Linked DNA regions of Xenopus tropicalis. The protein of the gene in region 2 purifies or fractionates together with the protein of the main gene of each other region. This does not show direct contact. Links are inferred from orthologs where the notes say so. Each region holds a gene or a part of one and is shown on either strand. Other genes may lie near its edges. The genes, in order: cab39 and stradb.

What was found.
Region 1: the proteins of stradb (region 2) and cab39 purify together in Homo sapiens (affinity purification with mass spectrometry; 3 studies listed by BioGRID and IntAct, counting the BioPlex papers as one, with this or other methods). This does not show direct contact. The link is inferred for Xenopus tropicalis from reciprocal best matches to the Homo sapiens genes STRADB and CAB39.

What each region holds. Positions count from the first base shown.
Region 1 is NC_030681.2:128,008,645-128,012,471, forward strand, and holds part of cab39 (calcium-binding protein 39), read right to left. Parts: intron 3,762-3,827; 5' UTR 3,691-3,761; intron 2,975-3,690; 5' UTR 2,946-2,974; coding exon 2,832-2,945; intron 142-2,831; coding exon 1-141. UniProt on the Homo sapiens protein: Component of a complex that binds and activates STK11/LKB1. In the complex, required to stabilize the interaction between CAB39/MO25 (CAB39/MO25alpha or CAB39L/MO25beta) and STK11/LKB1.
Region 2 is NC_030685.2:53,862,658-53,866,484, reverse strand, and holds part of stradb (STE20-related kinase adapter protein beta), read right to left. Parts: intron 3,272-3,827; coding exon 3,163-3,271; intron 2,860-3,162; coding exon 2,736-2,859; intron 2,090-2,735; coding exon 1,918-2,089; intron 1,839-1,917; coding exon 1,734-1,838; intron 1-1,733. UniProt on the Homo sapiens protein: Pseudokinase which, in complex with CAB39/MO25 (CAB39/MO25alpha or CAB39L/MO25beta), binds to and activates STK11/LKB1.

The DNA.
Region 1 (3,827 bases), on a different chromosome or scaffold from region 2:
ATCTTTGCTTCTGCTGCTGATGTGTAAGTCGTCGACAGAGTATGCAGCAAGTGAGACATTTGAGCCTGGAGTAGGGCGTCTAAGGGAATTGGTTTGGAGGGCAGGGGAGCTGTATGTGTGGGGTAACAACCCTCCTCTCAGCTGCAAAATGAGACAGCACAGAAAAGGCAATTTATAAAGGCAAGCAGGCTCTTCCCAACCAGAATACAAAAGGGATTAGTCATTGAGGAGATGGGAGGCTTGCTGTTACATCCGGTAACCTTATATCAGAACCTCTCTCTCACACACCTTACTGAATCAGCAATTTTTCTTAAAGTACCACTATAATTCCATTTATTATGTTCATTATGGATTTATTCAATGCAGACTGGCTCAGGGTGCAATTTTAACCTCATCTCAATAACCACCGTCACTCCTTATCCCGAAGGAGTGAGCATGACCTAGCACTGCAGGGGCATGGCACTGTCAAGGCCATAGCCAGCCAAACAGTGCTATAAACACCACTCTCCATAGCAGTTCCTTAGGTGCAAAGCTTGTACAAATAGGTAGCAAGGTTGTATAATTTCTGCCAGCACCGGTATTCCCCTGTAGTAAGAACAATTGTATAGAAAAAATGCAGGCGAATAGCTGCCCTTGGATAATGGGTCACAACATGTTTCAGAACAACAATTCCCAGAAGCTTCTAACATAACCCATTATTAAAACATTCTGGGAAATGTAACGCCTGGGAACTAAAGGTAAATTCACAAATAGAGCTTTAAATAAATGTAACATGTCATATCAAAATTTTCATTTTCTACACCTAGTGCTGCAGGAACGCTGAAAAAATACACTCCTAGGTAGTGCTATCGAAAAGTAATGATATGACATGTTAGTTAAAGGGAGGCAAGTCAGTAAAGGAAAGTGCAGACAGCTTCATCTGTTGGCCTGATGTAAATGTAATTGTGTTTCAGGGTACAAAACAGCAGGTTAATCAGTTCTGGGTTCATCAGCCATGTGACATAGAAGGGAAGGGGTTTGTCACACACACACACAGACCCACACATAACAAAGAGTTGCATGACAGAGAGATGAGCCTGCCGCAATCTGAAATGCCTATATACGCGTGATTAGTGGGTGTGAATCACGGGATGTGGTCAGCAGACTGAGAGTGAACTTTATGTATGGGGTCGTCATCAGGTGTTTAGCTACATTTATATGATTTATTTATAACTCACACTCCATATTACTCAAACGGTGTCATTTGTGTGATGTGCAACTTTTTTTTTTATCTCTCAGGTTTTATATTATTTAACGCCTCTGCAGTTCTACATTTAGGGCTCTGGCACACGGGGACATTAGTCGCCAAATCTCCCTTGTCGCGGGCGACTAATCTCCCCGAAATGCCATACCACCGGCGAGTGGGATGGCATACGCAGCGCCGCGATTTCCCCTGAAATCGCAGAAGTTTCCTCTCGAGGTGACTACTCTCCCCGTGTGCCACAGCCCTTAGGGTGAAGACACATGGAGCTACTAGTAGAAGCTACTTATCGTGGCTACTAAAATAGAAAATGCTGATCATTTACTGATAATTGTCTCTATGTGTGTTTTAGCATATGCAATTCTTAGTATTGTCTATGGCAGGGTATTTTCTGGAGTTTAGAAGCCATGAAAAAGTAGCTGCTACTAGTAGCTCAGTGTGTCTTCACCCTTAAGAATTTATATTGTTAATAGAATCCCACTTACTCTAGCAACCAAGGCAGTGGCTTAAGTGGCAGACAATAAAAATTAGTGCAAGCTCTAGGGATGAGGCCAAGGACCACTGCAGCCATGATGTCATGCAGTGGCGATTGTTGTGACACTGCTTCATCTGCTGGCGAGTGCTAATGATAAACTGATACCAGAAACCAGAAGAGACATGGTAAAGAGCTGTTGCTACTCAGTGTACTTGGCAAATCTCCAAAGCCTATGTCCTCTTGCAATACATGGCTTCCTCCCAGATGTGTATACGGGTAGATGAGTTTACCCGAAATGCTAGAAAAATTGATACAAACGGAGACAGTGGAAAGAGGCACTTTCCATTCACCAGTGCAGCTATTAGGAGCAATGACAGATAAAGAGGTGCATTTTCTTTTCTGTGGGAGAAAAAACATCCCATGCACCACAGTCCTTAAAGTCATTTCATTTTAATAAAACTTTACACAACTGATGGCTACAATTCCTTATGAGATAATGCATTTTTTTTAAATTTTGCTCAGATTTAAAAATTAGGAATTAGATTCAGTTAGGTATTTAGGCCAATCTTTTTAGAAGTATTTGGTATACAAAAAGTATGGAATTGGCAAAAAGAACTAAACAGAAAAGTCCACCATCAACTAAATATGTTAGCCCACATGGCAGTGTTCTCTCCTCTGTAACAAAAGCAGAATGCATAGCTGCCAACTGTTCATTTCAAAAGTCCTTTAGAGCCCCAAAGCTCCCCAGCAAAACTGTCTGGGTGGTGCCTTTATGACAGTCTTAACAGAACAAGTAATGGGAGGACTAGGAAGAGAGAGATGAGGGATAAGAAGTGAAGTAAAGAAAATGAGAATAGAGAAATTATGTAAAGGTGGGTACCAAACCAGAAGTGGCAGTGACAACGTATTGGGCAGCAGGGAGGCACAGTGGCTATACATATATTATATAATAATAAAGTGCATTTGGGGAAGGACACTGAATTGTAATTCATCAAAAGGTAATTCACAGGCGTATCAGTGGAGGGATGAAGAATACAATGTAATAAGGAGAGAGCGTTTATAAGGAACCAGTCACATCTACATGTTATATAAGGAGCATAAGCAACAGTACTGTACCTTCTCTGCCTTCTTATCAGAGATGTCCTGCTTCTCTAGCACAGCTATACTTTCCTTCAGGTTCTTCACTATGTCTGCAGGAGACTTGTGGGACTTCCCAAAGGGAAACGGCATGGTTCGTGAGGTAACACTGCTCTACACTTCTGCACAGGAGAGAATATACAGAAGAACTTCATATAATTTCAGTCTGAAAGCACAATGGGAAACTTCTATTGCCTTATTGCTAAAAGGAAATAATGTTGTGTAATTTGTGGTTGACTTGGTAATAAATAAGTAATAAATAGAAGGTTGAATTAAACACATGGTTTGTACTTATGCATTCCACCTTTAGCAACTGATTGAAGGAAACTGGAAATATACGGCACCATACATATGGAACTAAACTAAGTCCAGTTATGGAGGATATTCCCTTTTTTACCTGAAACAGTGTATAAAGACAGGAAGGGAGCAGCCATTGCTATATTATATAATATATTGCTATATTATATAATAATATATATTATAATCTATAAAATTCACTGTGCGTTCCAATGAATAAATAGAAGAATTGCTGTGAAATGGTGTGCTGGTCCTGTGTGGACACACAGCTTGACTTATATATATATATATTTTTTTTTTTTTTTTTTTTTTTTCAATTTGTATTCATCTAATGGAAATTATTTCCTTCTTGCATTTTTCCTGTTTAGTTAGACTGTTAAAAAATCCATTATGCCTTTTCTTTTAGCTAAAAATAGTCAAAAAAGAGATAATGAGCTCTGCATTAAAAAAAGCCCCCCTTCATTTCAAATTGAAAGTACTGTACTTTCAGTTTCACTGTTTGCCCTGTTTAGTGAATGGACAACTAAGCCCATATATTTACCTTAATGGTGGAATGGTTCCCAGTCTCAGGCTAGCAACCAGTGCTGGAAAGGCTCAAACAGAGTTTATTATCTGCAGGCATAAAAGAAAAGAATGGTTAATACTTTCAATTACTCTGCACTACCTTTTTTTTCATAT
Region 2 (3,827 bases):
AAAAGGAAATCAATTTTAAAAATGAATTATTTCATTAAAATGGAGTCTATGGGAGACGGCCTTTACATAATTCGGAGCTTTCGGGATAGCGAGTTTACAAATAACAGATCCCATACCTGTACTAACATTTAGGAAAATCCATGTTCCTTGGGGAAAAGTAAAATGCTTTTTCAGCAAATTACAATTTTTTGCAAAAAATGTCTTCAACGGCCAAACAAATTAGAATATTTTCTCTTCCAAGAGAGCGATCCCCATAGACTGAGATTATAAAAAAAATTCTTGTGAGTATCTTACACAAACACTTTACAACAACAAACCAATATTTTCATCTGGATTCCATTTTCTTAAAAATATTGATCTTTAAATGTACAGTACGTGTTTGTAAATCTGACAGTATCTGAAAGTGAAAAGTATTAAAGGACATGCAACCCCCCACAAATCTTTGAATACCTGCCACTCCAGTTATTAAACTGTTAATAGTAAGGCTGCAGCTTCCCCACTTAGGATTCCTTCTCCTCCTCTAACTCACTAAGCCCCCTCCCTTAAAAATTTGCTTTTGTTGCTGGCTAACTGAGCATGCTCAGTTCTTCTTAACTCAGGTTACTTAATAGTCTAGCAGCCAATGAAGAGATGGCAATGCTGGTTTCCATAGAAACTTTGCTCTTGCTGTGCAGAGACATGTATTTTCTCCTAACCTCCTCTCCTGAGCTCAGCTTAACCATTACAGTGCTCAATCCAAGCAGAACTTTTTATTAAATTAATTCTGCCTGTGTAAGCCTGCATTCTTTATTGCATGAACTTTACAGCACACGTGCTGTTTTCAGATGAAATTGTGTGAAAATAACTGCCTGGTAAAAGCTGCAATTTGTTTTAGAAAAATGTGATGGTGCTGGTGAATGGAGGGGATATATGCAATACAAATGATATTGTTCGGGTAGGGGAAATGTGTCCAACTTTTATAAAAATGGTAGGAAAATGTAGGGTTTACTTGTCCTTTACTTGTCTCACAATATTCCCTCAGATCCCATGAAAATCTATTTTGTATCTAATCTTCAGCCACAGAATACAAAAAAATGAAAGCTGCTTAAACAAGTAACTTGTCAAGTTATTAGTGTATTTGTCCATACAGAGATTGTTCAGACTACTGTCTTTGGGGACACTGCAGTCAATATAATTTGTGGTCAATTTCAAGTCAGTTTGTGACAAAAAGGTTAGTTTGCTAAAAAGTCACTGGAAATGCAGTCAGATGTTCTATATATGTAATCCTGTCAGTATGCTGAAGCTTGGTACAGCTGGACATGCAGGGCCACACACTCAGGAGTCAAAAACAAATTCACTAAATAAAAATAAAAAAAGAAATAAAATTCACTGTAAATAGAAGCCTGTGCGACCAGGCTCAGACTAGAAATCTGTAGATTCTGGCAAATGCCAGAGGGGCTGATGTAAGATGCCATAGACAGTCACTATTTAGTGGGCTGGTGGGCTCCTGTTTGGACCTCTATAACCTTAAACTGTAAGGGCCTATTTTGAATTCCAGCCTGGGCCTGTTTGGACAGTACTAATCTTAGCATTTGCACATTACACTACGGACACTAAAATCAAGTCTAGAGCAAATGAGCCCTTAGTAAATCCTTACAAACAATTTCTCAGTTATAGTCGTATAGCAGATTTCAATGAGAGCTTTGAAAACTAGACATGACGACTAGTATATTTAGAGCAGAGATGAGTAATACCTGTGTCCGGTGCATGTCCATAAATGGTACACGCCCAGTGGCTAATTCACAGGCAGTGATGCCAATACTGTAGATGTCCGACTTCACATTGTATCCATAGAGGTCCTAAGGAACGGAATTTGACAATTAAAGTATGAGTTTCACATAGCTAATCCTGTCTGGGTTTAACTTTATGCTGACTTACCTGCCTTAGCAGTTCAGGACTAAACCAAGGAAGCATTGCAGTGCTGAAATTTGGGAAATCATATGCCACCTTTGCTTTCTCTCCATTTTTCACCATACAGTACAAATGACTTAGGCCAGAAAGAGTTACAAGACCCTCTTCTGATATAAGGATATGGCTCGCCTTCACATTTCTTACCAAAGAAAGAAAACAAAGATTCTAAGATGAATTTTATGCATGTTTAACTTGCTGAACACAGTGAGGTTTTTGAAGTTTCTAAAGCAACCAATTCGCTTTAAGTAGTAAACTAAAATTAAGTATTTTTGTACAGGTTATTCTTTCATAGCAAAGTTAAACGACAAATGCCAAAATGTCCCCAGTTTCCTTTTGTCCCAGCAGTAATGTAAGTCTCCCCCACCCCACTAAACAAAATCCAATGTTTTTCTCCCTTCTCCAAGCATCTCCATGCTCTCTCCCACACATTCTTCCAGTGTCCTCTCTTCCTCCCACACACTCATTTCCTGTTTTTTGGCACATGTTCTCTGCCTTCCAACTACTACTTCTCACTGCTAAAAGTATGAAAGTCTGTAAAAGGATTTTGCAGGACCAGTTATTTTTGTCCCACTTACTGAAAAGTTTCCTAGATTCTGTCCTTTTTCAGAATTACTGGATTGACACCCCACATTGCAGACAATTAAGTGTTAAATACCCCCCATTAGATCATGACTTTCTTAACAATGATCCTGCTACAATTCCAGCAATATCAGCAAAAAAAGAGATTTCTTTCTCAAGAAATTGTGATCCAATCTTTCCAAGCAACTTTTTTCTGATTTACTTACCTGTGGATATAACTATTTTGGTGCAGATAATGAAGTGCTTTTAATGCTCCATACAATATGCTTCCTATTAGAGCTTCATTCATTCCATCTGGGTAATAGTTCTTTAGGAGGCTACTAGCTGAACCTTGGAGTAAAAGGTTAAACATTATTCGCTTGCATTCTTTTATTTGTTACAGAGGACATATACAACTGTTGACTACAATGGAAGGTAGTCCAGAGCTGGTTATGGGTGTTCTGACTGCCCATACAAGTAATAATGATCAAAAGGTCCCTAAAACTTAATGTTGGATAATTTTTTTTTTGCATGTGCTTTTGTGCTTTGACTGATGTTTTTTTACATTACATTAATACAAAGAATGATGGGTACTCAGGAAGTTAGACCTTTAACTAACAGGGAGCATAATTCCACATTGGTTCAGCTACTTACCGTAAGCCATGAAAGGACTGACAATCCAAAGCAAAGCCCCTGTGGTGAAAATTTTCCAAGAAACCATGATATTGGGATGCCGAAAAAATGATGACATAACCACCTCATTCTGAAGAAAAAAATGAAGAACACTGTAAATTATTATTGTAAAGGAGAACTAAAGGTATAATCACTAGGCACCCCTAATGATTATAATCGCTTATTTGTGATACCCTGGGTCGGTGCTTCCGTTATGAGAAAACTGCTCTGGCCTGGGGTATTTCTGTAAAAGCTCATTCACTGCAATCTTCTCTTCTGTCTTCTTTTCTTTGGGCCCAGACAGTTGTGTGTGCAGAAGAGTGAAAAAGCTAATTTTTTGTGTTTAAACTCAGCTTTCAGTCTACTGTGCATAAACTGCCCAGACTGAAACAAAGACAAGATGGAGGAAGCTGAAGAAGATGGTGAAGATGGACAGGGCTAATGCAGTTTTTATTAAAGGTGAGCACCGACCTAAGGTATGAGGTAAGCAATTATAAACACTGGGGGTGCACCCCCAGCCATTATACCTTCTGTTCTCCTTTAGCTACATATGGGGTTGCTAAGGAAAAATACTTATGTGGTTGCTACAGAGGAACAAATCTAAGGGTAAGAATGCAAATCTTGAGATTATCCAGACTGCTTAGTTA